Linked DNA regions of Yarrowia lipolytica. The protein of the gene in region 3 purifies or fractionates together with the protein of the main gene of each other region. This does not show direct contact. Links are inferred from orthologs where the notes say so. Each region holds a gene or a part of one and is shown on either strand. Other genes may lie near its edges.

What was found.
Region 1: the proteins of YALI1_D21076g (region 3) and YALI1_A21630g purify together in Saccharomyces cerevisiae (affinity purification with mass spectrometry; 3 studies listed by BioGRID). This does not show direct contact. The link is inferred for Yarrowia lipolytica from reciprocal best matches to the Saccharomyces cerevisiae genes NOP56 and RRP9.
Region 2: the proteins of YALI1_D21076g (region 3) and YALI1_D35148g purify together in Saccharomyces cerevisiae (affinity purification with mass spectrometry; 5 studies listed by BioGRID). This does not show direct contact. The link is inferred for Yarrowia lipolytica from reciprocal best matches to the Saccharomyces cerevisiae genes NOP56 and ECM16.
Region 4: the proteins of YALI1_D21076g (region 3) and YALI1_C05636g purify together in Saccharomyces cerevisiae (affinity purification with mass spectrometry; 5 studies listed by BioGRID). This does not show direct contact. The link is inferred for Yarrowia lipolytica from reciprocal best matches to the Saccharomyces cerevisiae genes NOP56 and ENP1.

The regions. Positions count from the first base shown.
Region 1 is NC_090770.1:2,161,226-2,165,070, reverse strand, and holds YALI1_A21630g (uncharacterized protein), read right to left. Parts: upstream 2,147-3,845; coding exon 665-2,146; downstream 1-664. Other genes in the region: YALI1_A21620g (uncharacterized protein), read right to left, coding at 2,379-3,104; YALI1_A21617g (uncharacterized protein), read left to right, coding at 3,425-3,845. UniProt on the Saccharomyces cerevisiae protein: Involved in nucleolar processing of pre-18S ribosomal RNA. Required for efficient pre-rRNA cleavage at sites A0, A1 and A2, and biosynthesis of 18S rRNA.
Region 2 is NC_090773.1:3,512,732-3,519,219, forward strand, and holds YALI1_D35148g (uncharacterized protein), read left to right. Parts: upstream 1-1,998; coding exon 1,999-2,259; intron 2,260-2,367; coding exon 2,368-5,889; downstream 5,890-6,488. Other genes in the region: YALI1_D35126g (uncharacterized protein), read left to right, coding at 1-131; YALI1_D35143g (uncharacterized protein), read right to left, coding at 321-1,472; YALI1_D35190g (uncharacterized protein), read left to right, coding at 6,204-6,488. UniProt on the Saccharomyces cerevisiae protein: Probable ATP-binding RNA helicase. Required for 18S rRNA synthesis. May play a role in restructuring of the pre-rRNA.
Region 3 is NC_090773.1:2,105,338-2,109,597, reverse strand, and holds YALI1_D21076g (uncharacterized protein), read left to right. Parts: upstream 1-1,964; coding exon 1,965-3,497; downstream 3,498-4,260. Other genes in the region: YALI1_D21044g (uncharacterized protein), read right to left, coding at 3,809-4,260. UniProt on the Saccharomyces cerevisiae protein: Required for 60S ribosomal subunit synthesis.
Region 4 is NC_090772.1:561,821-565,561, forward strand, and holds YALI1_C05636g (uncharacterized protein), read right to left. Parts: upstream 1,785-3,741; coding exon 513-1,784; downstream 1-512. Other genes in the region: YALI1_C05649g (uncharacterized protein), read left to right, coding at 3,120-3,458. UniProt on the Saccharomyces cerevisiae protein: Required for normal export of the pre-40S particles from the nucleus to the cytoplasm.

The DNA.
Region 1 (3,845 bases), on a different chromosome or scaffold from region 3:
TGATCTGGAGAATTGTAAGACTCTGAGACAACAATATCTGACAAGAGCTGCGAAAGACTTAGGTGTCCATGGCGCTAATTACAGCTTCTAGTTCAAGGTGATATGATTGTTGCTAGCTGAACAAATCTACAAGTACAAGTACAAGTACTGTATGTACTGTACTTGTAAATAGGAAGATCCAATTTTTGTGGACCTGCAATTGGCGAATTATTTGGACTTGTACTTGTACTTTTACAGTAGTCTCATAAATAGATCAAAAGACACTTTCTCTACATAATAACATACTTCATTTCTCTCAATTTTCCAAGGAACAATGTATTTACACTGTTGACTGTAAAATTGTTCTTCAACTAAAGCCTAATTAATTAATTGCGAAATAATGTGATATTACTGGGTGATGAACAGCGGCAGGATAACTACACTCAGAACAAGTTACTATCAGCCCATGACTGTGACGTCATATCGTCTGTCTGACTTTTACACTATCATGTTTACTGTTTTTCTCAGAATGAACCGTGGATAACACATGTTCTCATCGTTCAGTCTTGAACTATTTACTTAATTATACGCACTCTGACACAATTTCATATACATCGATTTATTCAATCCTTACAGTCGCTTAGCAACCGTTTTCTATTAATGCTCTAGTCCTCCCTTCACATGCTTACAAGACCAATTCTCCAGTGTACAAACCATTTCTTCCTCCCACGTTGAGGAACCGGCCGATTCGCAGCTGCTTGGAGACCGCAGCAACCACGGCGAAAACCTCTTTGCCTCGAGATCCGTGCTCACTGACATCGATAGAGTCCACCACGCCCTTGACATTGGGCAGAGTGGCAATCTGGGTGAAAGACCGCATCTCGGATCCCAGCTTCCACACCTTGATCTCTCCACTCCATGATCCGGTAAGGAAAATGTCTGAGTAGGGGATGGCGTGGATTGCAGTAATGTATCGGGGAGATTGGGCAGGGAGAGGCACCTTGTCGGCCTCAGCCTCTCCGGTATGTGGAAGATCAGTCTCGGGTCTCTCCTCAACTCCATGCGCTCGTCTCTCAATGAAGACAGGCTTCTTCTTGCTCAGGGACCACAGACAAATGGAGCCGTTGTCTGAGCCCGTGACGAAGTAGTGTGAATCAATCATGGAACAGCAGTCGATGGAGCCCTCGGGGAAGTCCTTGATGTCTCCTCCCCGGAAAGTCAGACGCGACTCGTCAGCAATCTTCCACACCACAGCAGTTCGGTCTCGAGAGCCCACAGTCAGGCATCTCTCGCCAGCCAGAGCCGAAATGTCTGCAACCACATCCTGATGACCGAAAAGCGTCTCCACTTGCGACATTTGGTCCAGAGAGAAGGTTCGGACCTTGAGATCAGCACATGCAGCATACAGCTGGTTTGTGTTTCGTCGAAAGGCCAGACCCATGACGACTCCCCGTCGATCTCGGGTGTGGAAAACATGCAGGCACGACAGACTCTCGGCTGCCCAGACACAGATGGTCTTATCCTTGGATCCGGTGGCAACGTACTTGCCATCGGGAGACACTGCCACACACAGAATGTCGTCAATGTGGCCCTTGTAATCCTCCTTGGGGTTGAAGGCATCCTTGGAGGCGTGACGGTTGCCATAAACAACCTTGAGCACTCGAGGCTTAGTCACATCACTGATATCCCACTTGACCAGCTCGACATCTCGTCCAACTGTGTAGGCATAAGGGTATCGACAGGCCACGGCGGTTGGTCGGAATCTGCTCTTGTGAACTCGTGAAAAGGAGTTGGCCTTGACGTCCAGGAATCGGTAAATCAGACCCTTATCCTCAGCCACATCCTCCTCCAGGCGCCTTGAAAGATTCTCTCGATCAAGATCAGCAGCGTCGAATCCTATCTCGCCCATCTCATCCTTCAGGTTCTCCAGGTACTGGTTGGCGAGTCGTCGTCGCTTGTCAGCCTGGGTCTCCTCCTCGTCCTCACTGGAGTTTGCCGTGTCGGGGTTCTCAAAGAACTGCTCCTCTTCATTTTCACTCTCAGAAGTAATGTCTTCATCTGCCACGTTGGGGCGCTGGGGTTTGGCGACCGCCTTCTTGCCTCGTCGCTCATCCCGCTTGGGGGCCTTGCTCCTCTTTTTCGGGTTTGAAAAGAATGAATCAACCATGCTATCGTCTTGTGTGAGGATTTTCAGAGTTGATATGGCATAAATTTTCTGTTGATGCAAGCCTCGAAAAAATTAGACTTAAGGTGTAGGACGTCTGATAGAGTTCTTAATAAGCAAATACTTAATAAGCAACCATGGTACCAAAGGTGAGAACTACGAAAGCTACGAAAATCGTATTGTTGATAAACAATAAATAATTTGACCTATATCAATACAACCGACAAAGGGGTGGTTACATCTGCAAACGCCGGAGAACATGCACCTGTCGCAACAAGTCAAGACCCTCTTCTTGGTTCGTTTTGGCACTGTTGCACAGAGCTGTGATGACCAGTCCACATAAAGTGGTCAGTCTGGATGCAGACGATTTCATGACTGCCGCCTCTGGATGGGCGTTGCGGGTCTCGTGCAGCTTGATGAGCTGGTTGGACAGATCCAACACTTCCTCGGGGTCAGACGAATCAGCACCTCCCACTTGACCGACACGTAGCTCGACCTCCTGGAACGCCCGAATATACAGAATGAGTTCCATTGCGCGCTGTCGTTCCTCCAGCAGTTGGTTTTGGCTCTTCAGCACCTTGGCAATCCGTTCTGCTGTAGCGTCGACCTCCTGCTTGACCTGCTCCACCTGGCGTTGGAACAGCACCAATCGATGCTTGATCTCCTGCACCTTGCTGTTGCCACCGCTGACCGAGTTTCCGAGCGCCACAAACTGTTGGTACTCCTTGTTGATGAGCTCCACGACCTCGTTTTCAAGAATCTGGATCCACTGGCCGAACTCGGACTTGAGGTCCTCTAGCGCCTTGAATTGCGTCAGTTCCTGCGACAACAGGTCGTCTCCCGACGAGATCCGGTCTCTGTCGATCTGGACGGGGAATGGAAGAGACATTGTGTATGGCGGTTGGACTGTCGCTATACTGTCAGTATGTACGCACACAGGACACGGTTTGCATATATGCATGTTGGTTGGGAGTCACGTGACTCAGATGGCGAGGGCCAAACGAAAGATGGAGACACTGAAATTTATATACTGTAGCTGGAGAGAAAAGGAAAGTTCAAAGTAAACAAAAAAATCGAATGAGTCGATTTTCAATTATTTTAAAGCTCTTGCACAAATTCGGTAACACCTCAAATCGGTAACAGCTCACATACATCTGTTTGGTGCGGCGTGTTTTGATGTTGACTCACTTAAGCATAAACAACGAGAGTGGATCGGATCGTTGAGACGCATCAAACCTCCCTCTCAGGGTCGCCAACAGGAACAACACATACAACAATGAAATGAACGCGGCTCTGACTTATCTCAACATAGCCGTGTTTGCCATGGCCGGAGCTATAGCCCGTGAGGGTATAGAGCACCTGACACTCTTCCATGGCTCGTTCACCGAGTCCGGATTGGTATGGGCCAATTTCGGAGGCTGCATAGTCATGGGGTGGGTAAATGCCACAAATCTGTTTGAAAACGTGGAAAAAGAACGTGGAGTGACAAAGAAACAGTTGCCGCTGTTTTTAGGCATAGGCACGGGCTTCTGTGGTTCTCTAACTTCCTTCTCCACCCTCATGCTGGAAGGCTTTCTATACGGAGCCAACCAGAATGACACGAAGCTGGGATACCCCAACGCCGGCTACGGAGTCCAATCTGTCATGTCGATTGGTCTCATCAATTTCGGACTAAGTTTCGCAGGTCTCAAAGTCGGTCATC
Region 2 (6,488 bases), about 1.4 Mb from region 3:
AGTGTTTTCGCGAGGCTGAGGGTGTGGCTGGAAAAGACGTCGATCGCATGCTAATGGCCATCGTGGACAATGACTCCACCATCGTCTACTACTTCGTCTACAAGGGTCTGGTCAAGCCTCGAAAGAACTAGATTCACAACTATTATACACCCTGTTCCGTTATGATCCCGGTCCAGGCATTATCACCTTGCATTATAAATATATGTACATTACATGAAACAATATGGTCTGGGGCATAGTAATGTAGCACCCAGTCAGCCAGAAGACCTGTAGCTCGCGGCTTAAATAGGTCTTGACTGTAACATCAACTTCCATCTTTGTCACTCCAAAAACACCATGGATTCGTCAATCACAGGGCTCAGTTTCACATTGCCACTGTTAACCCAACGTCTAACAGATTTCTTCAAAACCCGTCCTCCCAGTTGTACCTTCTTGGCTTTTTCGTCGCTGTAGAGAACTACAGCATGCATTTCTTTGAGTGCTCGCATCACATCTTCCGGCTGGATATAAGTATGTTCGCTGATCGTCTCAATCGTGATGACGTCTTCTGTACACTCTATCAAGATGAACCGGGCTATCGTAGTACACCAGTAAGACATATATGATAAAGTGCCGAACTTCGACAGCGGTCGCTCTGGACTTCCTTTACGGCCTTCGTACTTCGACAGCACGTATGAAAACTCGATCAGCAGTTTGCCCAGCCCTCGCCTTTGATACGGAGGAAATACCAGAATGCAAGCCAGATTGTTTTCGTCCCACGACAGTTTCTCCTTGGAGAAGAAGCCCATGGGTTTAAAGTGCCTGCTGCTGGCGGTATCCTTGCCGAGCACAACATAAAATTCAAAGGCATCGGCGCCGAAGAACACAGACTTGTGGTCCAGGAAGAGCTTCGCGAACAGACAGAGATTCTGGCAGTAGAGCTTGTGAACGGCGCCATCAACACGGCGAATGGCATAGTCTTTCGATTTGTAAACCGTCTCTCCGGGGTGCTTGAACACATACTTGCAGGTGCTTCGGTGTTGGGCCATGTCCTTGGAGACCTTCGAGTATTTGAAACACGAGTCGCAGACAAACAGCTGTTTGACCTGGAAGTCGACCTGGGCTGGTGGTTGGTCATTGGGGGCCACAGATGCGTTTGCTGATGATCCAGAGGACGAAATGGTTGAGGATGTTAATGCAGAAGAGGTTCCTCCAGGTGTGCCAACAGACGGAGAGCTGTAGCGCTCAATGAAGAGCCGGGACATGTCGCAGGTGTGATTGTCCTTGTCCTTGTCGAGGGCCTTGGCCTCCATCAACGCCATGGCCCGCTTCCAGGTCAACTTCTTGAGTTCGTCCTTCTGTGAAAAATAGTATGCCGACGAGTGGTACCACGTGTCGAATTCACGAGGGCCAAAGACCACCCGTCCAATGTTTCGTGGAGGCTCTTCTTCCTCCTCATCGTCCAAGGGGTCGTCGTGCATTAGTGTTGGCATGCCAGGAGAAGATGTTGTCTATGTTGAAGGACTTCGTTTCTCGTCACCACAGAACAGTCATGCACGCTTCAACGTCGCGCTTAAAGACCCATGAGGCGGATGTGTAATAGATTACTTGTAGAGCAATTACTAACGAGAATGGTGTATAACATACTAGGGCTCAGTGTGCACACTATGTAACCATCATTTAATATAAATGTGTCTCTTTTAATTACACCTTTCATTTTTCTACTGAGACCACCTCACTTGCGGCTCGTACTATTTTCGCCCCTCAAAAATCGATGCCAATTTTTGGGAACCAAAATTTTATTGTTTATAATTATGTGAACTGCAGTTTGGTTTATAACTGAGACTCTCAAAGAAAAACATATATTACGTGAACATTTACTTCAAGTTATTATAGAAAAAGAACCTGTCTCCTCCCAACAGCCACATCACATGACCGCGCATACATCATGCACAATCAGAAAAAATTGGGCAATATAGCATAACCTGCGTGAAGCTGATTCAACCCATCGCTTCAACTATGGCGAAATACAAGCTAGGATACAACGCAAAGGCCCGAGCCGGCTCGCTGAAGAAGCAGCAGGAGCTCAAGGCCGCCAAGCAGAAAACCTGGGTCAAGAAGCCTACAGCAGAGGAGGAGGAAGAAGACGCCAATGCCGAGCTCATGGTGCCCAAGAGTGAGGCCGAGAAGGAGGCTCGAAAGAGAAAGCTCCAGGAAGAGCTCACACCTACGGAGAGCAAGATGACTTCAAAGAAGCGAAAGCGTCTAGACAAGTACATTGTGAGTATGACACGAGGATACGTCGCAGGTTTAGCTTAACCAGATTAGCTGAACCAGATTAGCTGAACCAAGGACATTCGCTGCGCTTATGATTACATACTAACTCAGGAAAAACAACTCAAGAGAGAAGAGAAGAAGGCATTGTTTTCCGAGTTTGCTGCTCGAAAGGGCACCTTTGATACATCTCAGCTCAAGTCTATGAAACACATGGGTGACAAGGAAACCAAAAAAGCCCGGATCGAGGAAGCTTTGCGTCTGGAGAAACTGGGTCTCGGTAATGAGGAGACCAAGGAGATTCTGTACGAGAAACACGATCACGAAGAGTGGGATGACGAGAAGCATTCTCATCTCCTGACTGAGCTGGAGCGAAAGGAGAAGCAAATGGCCGAAGAGGAAGAGCAGGAGAACAAAAGCTCATTCATTGACATGCGACCCAAGGCTGGTGGTGGTTTCGGTTTCCAGAACCTGGCCAAGGTTTCCAAGCCCGCAAAAAACTCTTACTCTTGGCGAAAGAAGCTCGAGATTGAGCGTGCTCGAAAGAACAAGAAGGACTACGTTAGCTCCGGGGAGGACGACGATACCGATTCTGATGAGGAGGATTCTGACGAAGATTCAGACGAGGATTCGGATGAGGAGTCTGAGGAGTCAGAAGAGGAAGGCACCAAAAAAGTGAAGGCGGCTGCCGAGGAGGAGATCGAGGAAGATGTCGAGGAAGAGGAAGAAGATGAAGACGAGCAGGAGGAGGAGGATGAGGACGAAGATGAGGACGAAGATGAGGACGAGGAAGAGGAAGACGAGGAAGATGACGAGTATACCGAAATCGTCACCAAAAAGACAAAGGGTTCTTCTTTCAAGGAATGGATCGATGAACAGTCTGGACCCAAGTCTTCCAACATCGAGGATCTCTCGCATATCAAGATCAAGAAAGAAAGAGTGGACAGAGACGAGGACCGCCTTACTCCTCCTCCCGAAGACATTGCCCAACCCGAGTACGCCAAAAGAAAGGCCTTTTATGTCAACGTTCAGCGAGACCCTGAAATCCAGACCTCCCGAATGAACCTTCCTGTCACCGGAGAAGAACAGAGAATCATGGAAGCCATTTTCAACAACGATTGTGTCATCATCTGTGGTGAAACTGGTTCAGGTAAGACTACACAGACTCCTCAATTCCTGATCGAGGCGGGTTTCGGAACGAAGGGTAGTGACTACCCTGGTATGATCGGTGTCACCCAGCCTCGACGAGTGGCCGCCATCTCTATGGCGCAACGTGTTGCTAACGAGTTGGGTAACCAAGGTGATAGAGTTGCCCATCAGGTGCGATTCGATGTCACCGTGAAGGATAATACAGCTCTCAAGTTCATGACTGATGGTGTGTTGCTGCGAGAACTGTCCCAAGACTTTGCTCTTACCAAGTACTCTGCTCTGGTAATTGATGAGGCCCATGAACGTAACATCAACACTGATATTCTCATTGGTGTGCTTTCTCGAGTTCTCAAGTTGCGAAAGGAGATGTTCAACGAAGGCAAGTGCGAGTCTCCCCTCAAGCTCATTATCATGTCTGCTACTCTGCGGGTTTCCGATTTCACAGAGAACAAGACTCTTTTCCCAGTTCCTCCTCCTGTTCTCAAGGTTGAGGCCCGACAATATCCCGTTTCTGTCCACTTCAACAAACGAACAACTTACGACTACATGGACGAGATCTACCGAAAGACCTGCAAGATCCACAAACGACTGCCCGATGGTGGTATTCTGATCTTCCTGACTGGCCAAAACGAGATTGTTAACGTGGTCAAGCGGCTTCGGAAGGCCTTCCCTGATCGAACTAAGGTGTGGCGGCCCAAGGACAAGTCTGAGGATCTCCAGGTCAAGGTGTCTGCCAATGAGACTGTAGTGGAGGCCGAGGAGGTTGATTTTGGCGCCGATATGCGACAACAGGACTATGCTGCTGTCGAGGGAGAGTCTGAGACAGATGAGGAGGACGGAGAAGAAGGTTTCGAAGAGGAGCTTGCTGTCGAGGAGCGAAATGAGTCTGCTCCTCTGCACGTGCTTCCTCTTTACTCTCTGCTGCCTACCAAGGAGCAGATGAAGGTGTTTGAGGAGGTTCCTGCCGGCCATCGACTGTGTGTCGTTGCTACTAACGTTGCTGAAACTTCGCTGACCATTCCTGGTATCAGATATGTGGTTGATTGTGGTCGAGCAAAGGAGCGAAAGTACGATGAAGAGACTGGTGTTCAGTCCTTTGAGGTTGATTTCATCTCCAAGGCTTCTGCCGATCAGCGAGCTGGTCGTGCCGGTCGAACTGGTCCCGGTCACTGCTACCGTGTCTTCTCATCTGCCGTCTATGAGGAGTTCTTCCCTCAATTCTCCATCCCCGAGATTCTCCGATGCCCTGTTGAGGGCATTGTTCTGGAGATGAAACACATGGGTATTGACAAGGTGGTCAACTTCCCCTTCCCCACTCCCCCCGACAGACAGTCCCTGGCCAAGGCCGAGAAGCTGCTGGAGTACCTAGGTGCCCTCAGCAACACTGGTGTTATTTCTGATATGGGTAAGCAGATGTCTCTGTTCCCTCTGTCCCCGCGATTCGCCAAGATGCTCATTATTGGTTCTCAGCTCGAGTGCCTGCCTTACATGGTTGCCATTGTTGCTGCTCTCACAGTTGGAGATCCCTTCATTGGAGAGCACGAGCTTGGCATCAATGAGAAACCACAGAAGCCCAAGGTTGAGGAGGTTGATGAAGACGGAGACCGGATTAAGAGCAACGAGTCTGACTCCGAGCCCGAGGACATTTACGAGATTGAGCGAAAGCGAAAGCTGCGATCCAGCTACCATAAGGCCCAGGCAAAGCTGGCCTCCCTGGACCCTGCATCTGACGCTCTGAAGCTGCTCTCTGCCGTCTGCGCCATGGACTACGATTCCGACCTGGAGAACTTCTGCAAGGGCTTCTTCCTGCGACACAAGCTGATGGAGGAGATGCGAAAGCTGAGACAGCAACTGAGCCGAATCGTTGTGGCCAACTCCGACCCTCGAGCAGCTCCTATGCTCAAGGAACAGTTGAATGCCAAGCTCAAGCCTCCTTCTAAGCTCCAGATCAAGGCTCTCAAGCAGATGATTGCCACTGGTTTTGTTGACCAGGTGGCTCAGCGTCTGGACAAGGTCAGCGAGGACTACAAGCTCACTTCTCGAGAGCGAATCATCAACGTTCCCTACCAGACTCTGTTCCCCACCTCCACCACCAACAAGAAGACTGACGACCAAGGAAACCCTCTGCCTGACGACACTCAGGTGTTCATTCACCCCGGATCTGTCATTAACACTATGGGAACTCATCCTCCCGAAATGTTGGTATTTGCTTCCGTCAACCGATCGGGATCTTCCAAGCTGAGAATCAAGCCTCTCTGTGATATCACATCTGCCCAGATTGGCAACATTGCCAAGGGCACTGCTCTACTCACATACTCCAAGCCCCTGCCTCCCCCCTACGGCCCCAAGATGATCACCAGTACCTCTCGAGAGTGTTGGGTGGTTCCTCGGCTGGGAGCTGCTATTGGCTCTGGAGGCACTGGATGGGATCTGCCTCCTATTAAGGTGAAACAGGAGAAGAAGGGTAGCCAGTGGGTTACCTTGTAAAAATTGCCATAGCAACAAACGAACAAAAACCATAGCATGTTTATATTGTATTAGATTTCTTCATAATTTTAGGGAAACACACTGTATCTTCACTTCGTAGCTACAGCACTTACTAAGCACTTTTTACATCCTCGGTAAGTAATTAGGTTTGTGCATCCATACCCCACATAAAGTTGAACATGAAAGAAGGGAAGACTGATTTGCCCCCACAGCACCAGACAACCAGCAATACGGCGGTTGATCATTGTTAAGCCAAACGATTGGAACCTGATCATATCATATCAACCCAAAACGACCTTTCCTCACGACAAAAAATGGACTACTTTTCGTCACTCAACGCGAGCCAGCTGGATCCTGATGTGCCCACACTGTTTGAGCTTCTGTCTGCTAAACAGCTGGAGGGTCTGATTGCCCCTTCGGTTCGATATATTCTTGCATTCTACGCCCAGAGACATCCGCGGTATCTACTGCGAATCGTCAACCGCTACGACGAGCTGTACGCGTTGTTCATGGGTCTGGTGGAGTACTATAATCTCAAGACATGGAATGCCAGCTTCACAGAAAAGTTCTACGGTCTGAAACGAACACAGATCCTGACG
Region 3 (4,260 bases):
AGATGTAGGGATATTGATTCTAGGGTGGGTGAAGTTGCTACAAGTAGCTCTTTCTGTGGTGGACCCCGGAGATACTAGTTATGAAGAGTGGTCATGAAGAGTGGTTATGAAAAGTGGTTACGATGCTTGTTTCTCATACACTAGCTAGTCAAGTATTGATCATGATGGGTATGATGTGAGGGTGAATGGTGAGAATACACTACAGTAGATGATAAGAATGTGTTTCTGTAGCTATTCGCGATCTTCGAATATCACGCTCTTTTCTTCGATTTAATCTTCATTTTCGCTAGTTATTGTGATAATTCGAAGTAGTCGTAGTAAATCAAGTGGCACTGTACCTACCATGGCTTGTACAGGTACTTGTTATGGAATGATCTGAGTGAATCTCAACGGCAAGAGATAACGGATTCTGATTTGCGGGTCACAGAAGGAGATTCTCAACTCTCAATGGGATAGTTCCATAAGAACTTGTACTGTAGCCCATGGGTGTCCAGTTTAGATGCTGTAAGCAGAACACGACGCTCAGTTTCTGCCAGAAACTTGGACGCTAGTTGCCAAAAACTTTTAGCGATGGAAACCCTTTAAAAACTTCTCCAGAACTCTCCAGAACTCTCCAGAACTCTCCAGAACTCTCGTGGTCCTATATGTGCGAATGAACGACCTCCACTCACCGCCATTGGACAGACACAGAGAAGTATGGGGATGGTGAATGTGAACAGGAGACAGTGTAGCGATGAATACGAGATTGGTACCATCTCCAAGATCAGCCGAAAACGTTTCTGTATATCAGCTCCTTTGTTGGATTCCATGCCGACAGTCCACCACAGAAGTTGAACATTCGCTGATGCTACACCTGAATTACCTGTCCCAAAATGGCCAAAAAAAAAAAAAAAAAAAAAAAAAAAAAAAGGACTCTCTTGGGTAATGTGACCAAAATCTGCTATTATTTGCGGAATTTATTAATATTCGGATGTAAAACTGATGCAACAAGTACCCTTCGCCCAAACTGTCCTACAACGAGTGCAAAACTCCTCTATCACAACTACTAACATCGACATGCTACAACACCTCCAAACCTAATCGTATTTTTTTTAGACACCAGGAAGCCTTCGTCAACAGACCCCTGTTTCCCCGAATCTGAGTAGAAAAGACGTAAACCAGGTATTCCAAACTCCAAGATCCCCCAGTAAAAAATTCGCTTCTCGAAGACTGCTCTAAAGGCACATTCACCGTTGCTTGTTGCTGTACCCAGATTGTCAACAGTAACTTTGATCCGAGGTACGTTGTGTGCGATATTGGACGAGCTATAGTCATTATCTCTGAGATCAGAAAGGCTAGAAATAGCTTCTCGAACTTTCAGTATGCCCAAAGATATACCAAAAGCTTTCTATATGTCAATATCTGCTTTTGTCACGCCCAGTCGAAGACGTTATATGCTGGACTCTATCAGATAATGTTTGGGTTGCATCGATCTCTGGTTACTGCTCAGCACGGCCAGATAATGTCGCCATATAGACATAAAACTGATACGGTAAAGATGCCAACCGGCCATTATACATCTGGATCAACCATTTTTCTCATAATATCCATCCATTGCAGTGTAAAAATGGCGACTTTTCAGCCCCTTTTTGGAACAAGTTGCTCGTAGGTCTACTCCGAAGTCGGTCAAACTACATGCCAAACCAATCCGAACTAAACAACACACGCAGCTGAGACCTGTGGCCCAAAATTCAGTGGCACACTCATTAACCCTCTAAACAATAAACATATCACGGCGCCTACTCATAAACGAACCACCACGGCCATTTGCGAACGACCCACTATTGTCCCCCGTCTAGTCTCCACGGCCGGGTAAAAAGGCTATTTTTTTCTGCACAATTTTTTCTGACGCTGCAGGACGTTTAAAAATATTCCTGTCCACTTTTCTCCCAACCACACACTTGTCCAACACCACTACACACACCATGTCGGACCAAATCGACTACGTACTTTTCGAGGAGGCCTCTGGCTACGCTCTGTTCAAGGTGCTGCTGCAGCCCGAGAACATTGGCGCCCGAGTCAAGGAGGTCCAGGAGTCTTGTACCGACTTCAACAAGTTTTCCAAGCTTGTCAAGCTGGTGTCTTTTGCCCCCTTCAAGGGTGCTGCCCATGCTCTGGAGAACGCCAACGATATTTCCGAGGGTATCTGCAACGACCACCTCAAGTCCCTGCTCGAGCTCAACTTGCCTGAGGGATCCAAGAAGAAGAAGATTGTGCTTGGTATCAGTGACAAGAACCTGGGCCAGAGCATAAAGGAGGCTCTCCCCAACGTCGAGTGTGTCTCCAACGAGGCCGTCCACGATCTCCAGCGAGGAATCCGTTTGTTTGGCGACCGGTTCCTGGAGCAGCTTGACTCTGGCGATCTTGAGCGAGCTCAGCTTGGTCTGGGCCACGCCTACTCCCGAGCCAAGGTCAAGTTCTCCGTCAACAAGAACGACAACCACATCATCCAGGCCATTGCGCTGCTGGACCAGCTGGACAAGGATATCAACACCTTCTCCATGCGAGTCAAGGAGTGGTATGGCTGGCACTTCCCCGAGCTCGCCAAGCTCGTCAACGACAACTACAACTTTGCCAAGCTCGCTCTCTACATCAAGGACAAGTCCGAGCTGTCCGAGGACTCCCTGCACGACATTGCTGCCATCGTGAACGACGATGCTGGTCTTGCCCAGCAGATTATCGACGCTTCCAAGATCTCCATGGGCCAGGACATCTCCGAGGCTGACATGGACAACGTTACCACCTTCGCCGAGCGAGTTGTCAACATCACCGACTACCGACGAAAGCTCTACGGCTACCTGTCCGAGAAGATGAACACCATTGCTCCCAACCTGTCCGAGCTTATTGGTGAGGTTGTTGGTGCCCGACTCATCTCTCACGCCGGTTCTCTTACCAACCTGTCCAAGTACCCTGCCTCTACTGTCCAGATTCTCGGTGCCGAGAAGGCTCTGTTCCGAGCTCTTAAGACCAAGGGAAACACCCCTAAATACGGTCTGATCTACCACTCTTCTTTCATCGGCAAGGCCGGTCTCAAGAACAAGGGCCGAATCTCCCGATTCCTCGCCAACAAGTGTTCCATTGCATCTCGAATCGACAACTACTCCGATGTGCCCACTTCCATCTTCGGAAAGGCCCTCAAGCAGCAGGTCGAGGAGCGACTCACCTTCTACGATACCGGAGTTGCCCCCACCAAGAACGTCGATGCCATGAAGAACGCCATGGACGAGGTTCTGGCCAACATGGGCGACGTTGAGGTCGATGAGGACTCTGACGTTGAGATGGATGACGATTCCGACAAGAAGGAGAAGAAGGAAAAGAAGGACAAGAAGGAAAAGAAGGAAAAGAAGGACAAGTCTGAGAAGAAGGACAAGAAGGACAAGAAGGAAAAGAAGGACAAGAAGCGAAAGAGCTTGGGCGGTGATGAGACTCCTAAGAAGAAGAAGTCAAAGAAGGATTAATGTAGTATATATTTAACGGATAATACAAGTGAAGATGCAAAGTTGCATACATCTGGCATGCAGTGAGGGTTGCCAGATGATGTGATTTTGCGACCGTAGAATGAGGGAAGACTGCCACAAGACTGGAATCTGAGAAATGTGATAACACCTACAAGTATCTGACATGTCTCAGGCACTACAGCTGTGCCTGTTTTCATAGGCGGTATTCTCATACAAGTTCACTGAGCCCTTATCAGGTACAATACTAAGACAAATATACTAATTGTGTTGTGGACGCATCGAAACCGCCTCTGCAACGCAGTCATGACCTCCTACAGGTACAGTCCAGCAACGCCATCATCTGCTCTCAACTCCTTCAACGCCTTTGCTGCGTCGAGCCCGAAAACTCCGGCGAGAATTCCAGTCAGGTCCTCGAACGTGTCACTCTGGTATCGCTCGAACGACTGAGTGCCCACATTCTGGACCACTAGTGCTGTGGCAGGCACCTGTGACTGCTGACATCGGGTGAGAACGGCGGCTCCTAGTCCAGATATGAAGTTTGGAGACTGCAGCAGAGGTGTGGAAGCCAGGGGGACGAGATTCGACTTACCCACATCCAGCTGGTGCACATGAACGTCAGCAATGGTGTTACCAGGTGCAAGAATGAGCGCTTGGCAGGGTTTGATTAGATCAACCAACTGTTGAGCAAACCCATGTGCCAGAAGAAGCTCATCCTGCTTGATTTCCACTAGAACCACATCTCCATACTGAACTGGCGATAGGA
Region 4 (3,741 bases), on a different chromosome or scaffold from region 3:
CAATTACCCATATCGCCAAGTGATTGGCCCCATACATTCTCAATCCATGAAATCTCATTTGTAGCCTGAATCCATGAAAATCCAAAGATCTCAGATTCGACCCAGAAGGACCAAAGAAGTCGATTATTACATTATTTCAACCACAATAAAACCATGTAAGAAGTCCATTTAACGAAAACTTGTCTCCATGTGGCTCAATCGGATTACACCCTTCGAACCATGTTGGTTTGAATAGCTACTTTTTGGTTGAAGTCGAAGGGTTTGAGGATGTAGGGCGAATAGGTTCCTTTGCGCTTTCTGGCACTCATATTTGTGCAATAAAATACGTCTTTTCCTCTCTTGTCGTTATGGTGCACCTCTAGTATCGTACTGTTGTACATTTTCACATCCATACTGTCTTTACACTAACTAAAACCCCACCGTGTACACGCAAACACCGCTAGCAACGCTCTATACCAATCAACCATCTCTAATTATGCTACATACATCTATTATAGTCCTTTTTCCGTTAGTTAAACCTCCATCTGCTCATCCACAATAGGTCGAGACTCGCCAGAAATCAATTCTCGTCGAATTTCAGGTGTAATCTTGGGATGGTTTTTGACCTTGATGACATCCAGAAGAGCGTCTCGCTGATCCTCCGTGATATCACTCTTGTATCGCTGGGCAAAGACCAGAAGGGACTGATGCCAGATGACGGGGAGAGCCTCTTCAACGTGAGCGAAACGCATGAAATGGAAGACCACGGCGTCAACGACTCGGTAGGGCAGAGCGTACTTCTTGTCGAGCAGCACCTTGATGAACAGAGAAGTGGGGCCGGAATAAGGCATCTCAGCCAGTCTCATGAGAGCAGCAGCAGAATGCAAAGTGGGGATAGAGACCTTGGACAGAATGGAGCTGACAATGATGGCCTCCTTGAGTGTGCATTGCTCAGCCAAAGGGAACAGGAAACCCTTGAAGAAGGCAGAAGGCTTATACAGAGCCTTCTTCAGGGATCGATAAACGTGGTAGTTTAGGGTCTTCTTCTCTTCAATCTCCTCCTTGAATCGCTCCAGCAGCACAATCTGGATGAACTTCTGGGCCTCCTTAGCCTGCTGGTTGGACACAAACATCTTTGTTCCTTCGTAGATTGCGTTGGGAGACCAGCTAGCAGGATCGGTCACGTACAGAACATCCTGCCAGTTTCGCAGCGTAGGCACAATCTTGAATGCCTTGGGCAGCTTTCCAGACTTGTATCGGCTCAGAAGCTCTCCGACCTTCTCGTAGACTGCAATGACCTTGGGTGGAAGCATGACTCCCTCTCCCTCCAAACCCTGGGAGGTTCCAGGGGCCTCTCCAGTTCGCTCAAACTGCTCCTCCTCTTCCTTCTCTCGAATCTTGGCCATGATCTTATCGGCCAGAGAAACAGGCTCGTCCTCATTGAAGTACTTCGCGTACAGAGCAGCATCCTCAGGGGTCATAAACTCCTGTTGCACATCCTCGTACTCCTCGTACTCCTCCTCATCCTCCTCCTCGTCTTCGTCCTCGAATTCCACATCGTCATCCTCGGGAAACTCCTCGCCTCGCTCCTCCTCATCCAGCTCTCGCTGCTGATCCCGTGCCATCTGCAGAATTCGTCGCGAAGTGGCCGAATCAATAAAATCCTCCTCTGCAGCATCGGTCTTCTTGGTGTTTCGGGAAGTCTTCTGCTTGGCGGATTCTCGAAGAAGTCCGCTGCCCTGGCTCATGTCGACATGAAGCGGGCTGTGTCGCACCTTGGCGTCTTTAGTATCAGCTTTTCCCATGGTTGTGCGGTGCGTGGTGTTGGTGATATGGTGGGATTAAAAAATATGCCAAACCGTATGCAGCATGCACAATTTTTTAACGTTCCAAAATAAGGTTGTCACGTGACACAAATCGAGGGGACTAAAATTTGGTGAAACGAGATTATATTCGTTTTGATCGGATTTTTGCAGAGAGAACGTTGGTGCGAATGGTATGAGAATTTTATGTATTCGCCACTATTCCGAGATTCAGAGTAACTATAGGGTTAGGATATAATCTTATTTATCAGTCCATAATGCCAGACGACGACAACCTGGAACTGATTATAGATTTCACGTTCGCCATTAAGATGCGCAAGATTTCTCATTATGGTGATTGCGATGGTGCTAGAAGTATGAATAGCTACTTATGAGTGAAATTCCAGTTCGACAGTTTATGGTGAACATTGGCTACTACAGTATGGACAGTATGTACTTCTATGTGTATACTCGATGTTCATGTTCCTGTTGCTTGACGTCATCATACCTCCACAACTAGCCGGAAACAGATTCACTTCTTTTTTTCTCATGCAATTGACTGAATACTGTACATATAATGCATTTTCACCAGAATTCCGAGTAACCAACTGCAAGTCAAAGGGGTACGAGTTGAACTGGGTTCACAGTTTTAACAGGGATAAGGGGTACTACTTGTACGATACTTGTAAACGGGTGAAATTTCAGAAACCTTAGCGAAGGAAAAATGGTAGTCAACAGAAAAGAGATTCGACTTTTCCTAATCCCTTTTAAACGGTCACGTGACTAAAATAACCAGCCCCATTGCTGCTCACCTTTGACTTTTCCTAATCCCTTTTAAACGGTCACGTGACTAAAATAACCAGCCCCATTGCTGCTCACCTTTGGGTCTCTTCCGAGCCGGCTAACGGTACATTCTCAACGGTTCGATAGAGTTTGCGAGTCAGCAACATGGAGGATGGCCGTATTGGATCCGGGAAGCTATTTTTCAGGGGTATGGAGTTGATAGACAGCTTCTAAGTGGTAGTATAGGTCTAATCACGTGACTTTCACGATCACATGGGGCGGCTGGAGCAGTTTTAAGCCCTTCTGTTGAGCTCATCGCATCATGCATTGCTTTTTAATTTTGGCTCTCCTCTTTCTTTTGAGTTCACTATATCAACAGCAACTACTGGGCTTGGCTTGGTTAAAAGGAGAGGCAGTGATTGAAAGCATTGGCAACTGTATCTCTTACGTCAGTCACTTCAGACACGCCTTTCTACACACACGCACGTTCACAGAGACACAACCACAGACACACACAGACTCACAGACACACATACAGAACAGACATAACACACGATGGTCTTACTACTGGCAAACGTTGCGAAGGGGATGAGCACGGATGAGGCTCGGGCTAGACGAAACGCACGACGAGAGGCCCGAAGACAGGCGCAGAACGAACGACGTGCCGCTCGAAGAGCCCGGAACATTGAGAAGCGACGGCTCAAGGAGCTTGGCCGGGAGGCAGAAATGTCCGACCTCGAGCCCACCGAGTCGGAGTTTGATCCCGACGCGGATTCTGATCTGGAAACCCAGCAGGAGTATGAGAAGGAGTATCAGCATGAATTGGAGCTAATCCAGGAGAAGACGGCCAAGGAGAAGGCCGAGGCTCTTAAGGGGATAGAGAAGCATTGGTGATTGGATGGTGAAGCTGTCCAGTACAGGTAGCCCGTTAGCGATCAAGGGTGGCCTCCCAACTACCTTTTTTTTTTTATGTCTGACCGAGCCACTTCCTCGGCTACACGACAGGTTTCGGCTCCATTGTCGCTTAAACCAAAGACTTGTGTCAAAGGACCTTTTGGTTATTGCACAGTCCGAGATACTGCAAGTACTATAGCCTTCAGTCTACTGATTCGGAAAGGCCGACCAAGGCTGAGCAGACCAATATGGAAAATCTAACGTCTCACTTGGTGGATACCTG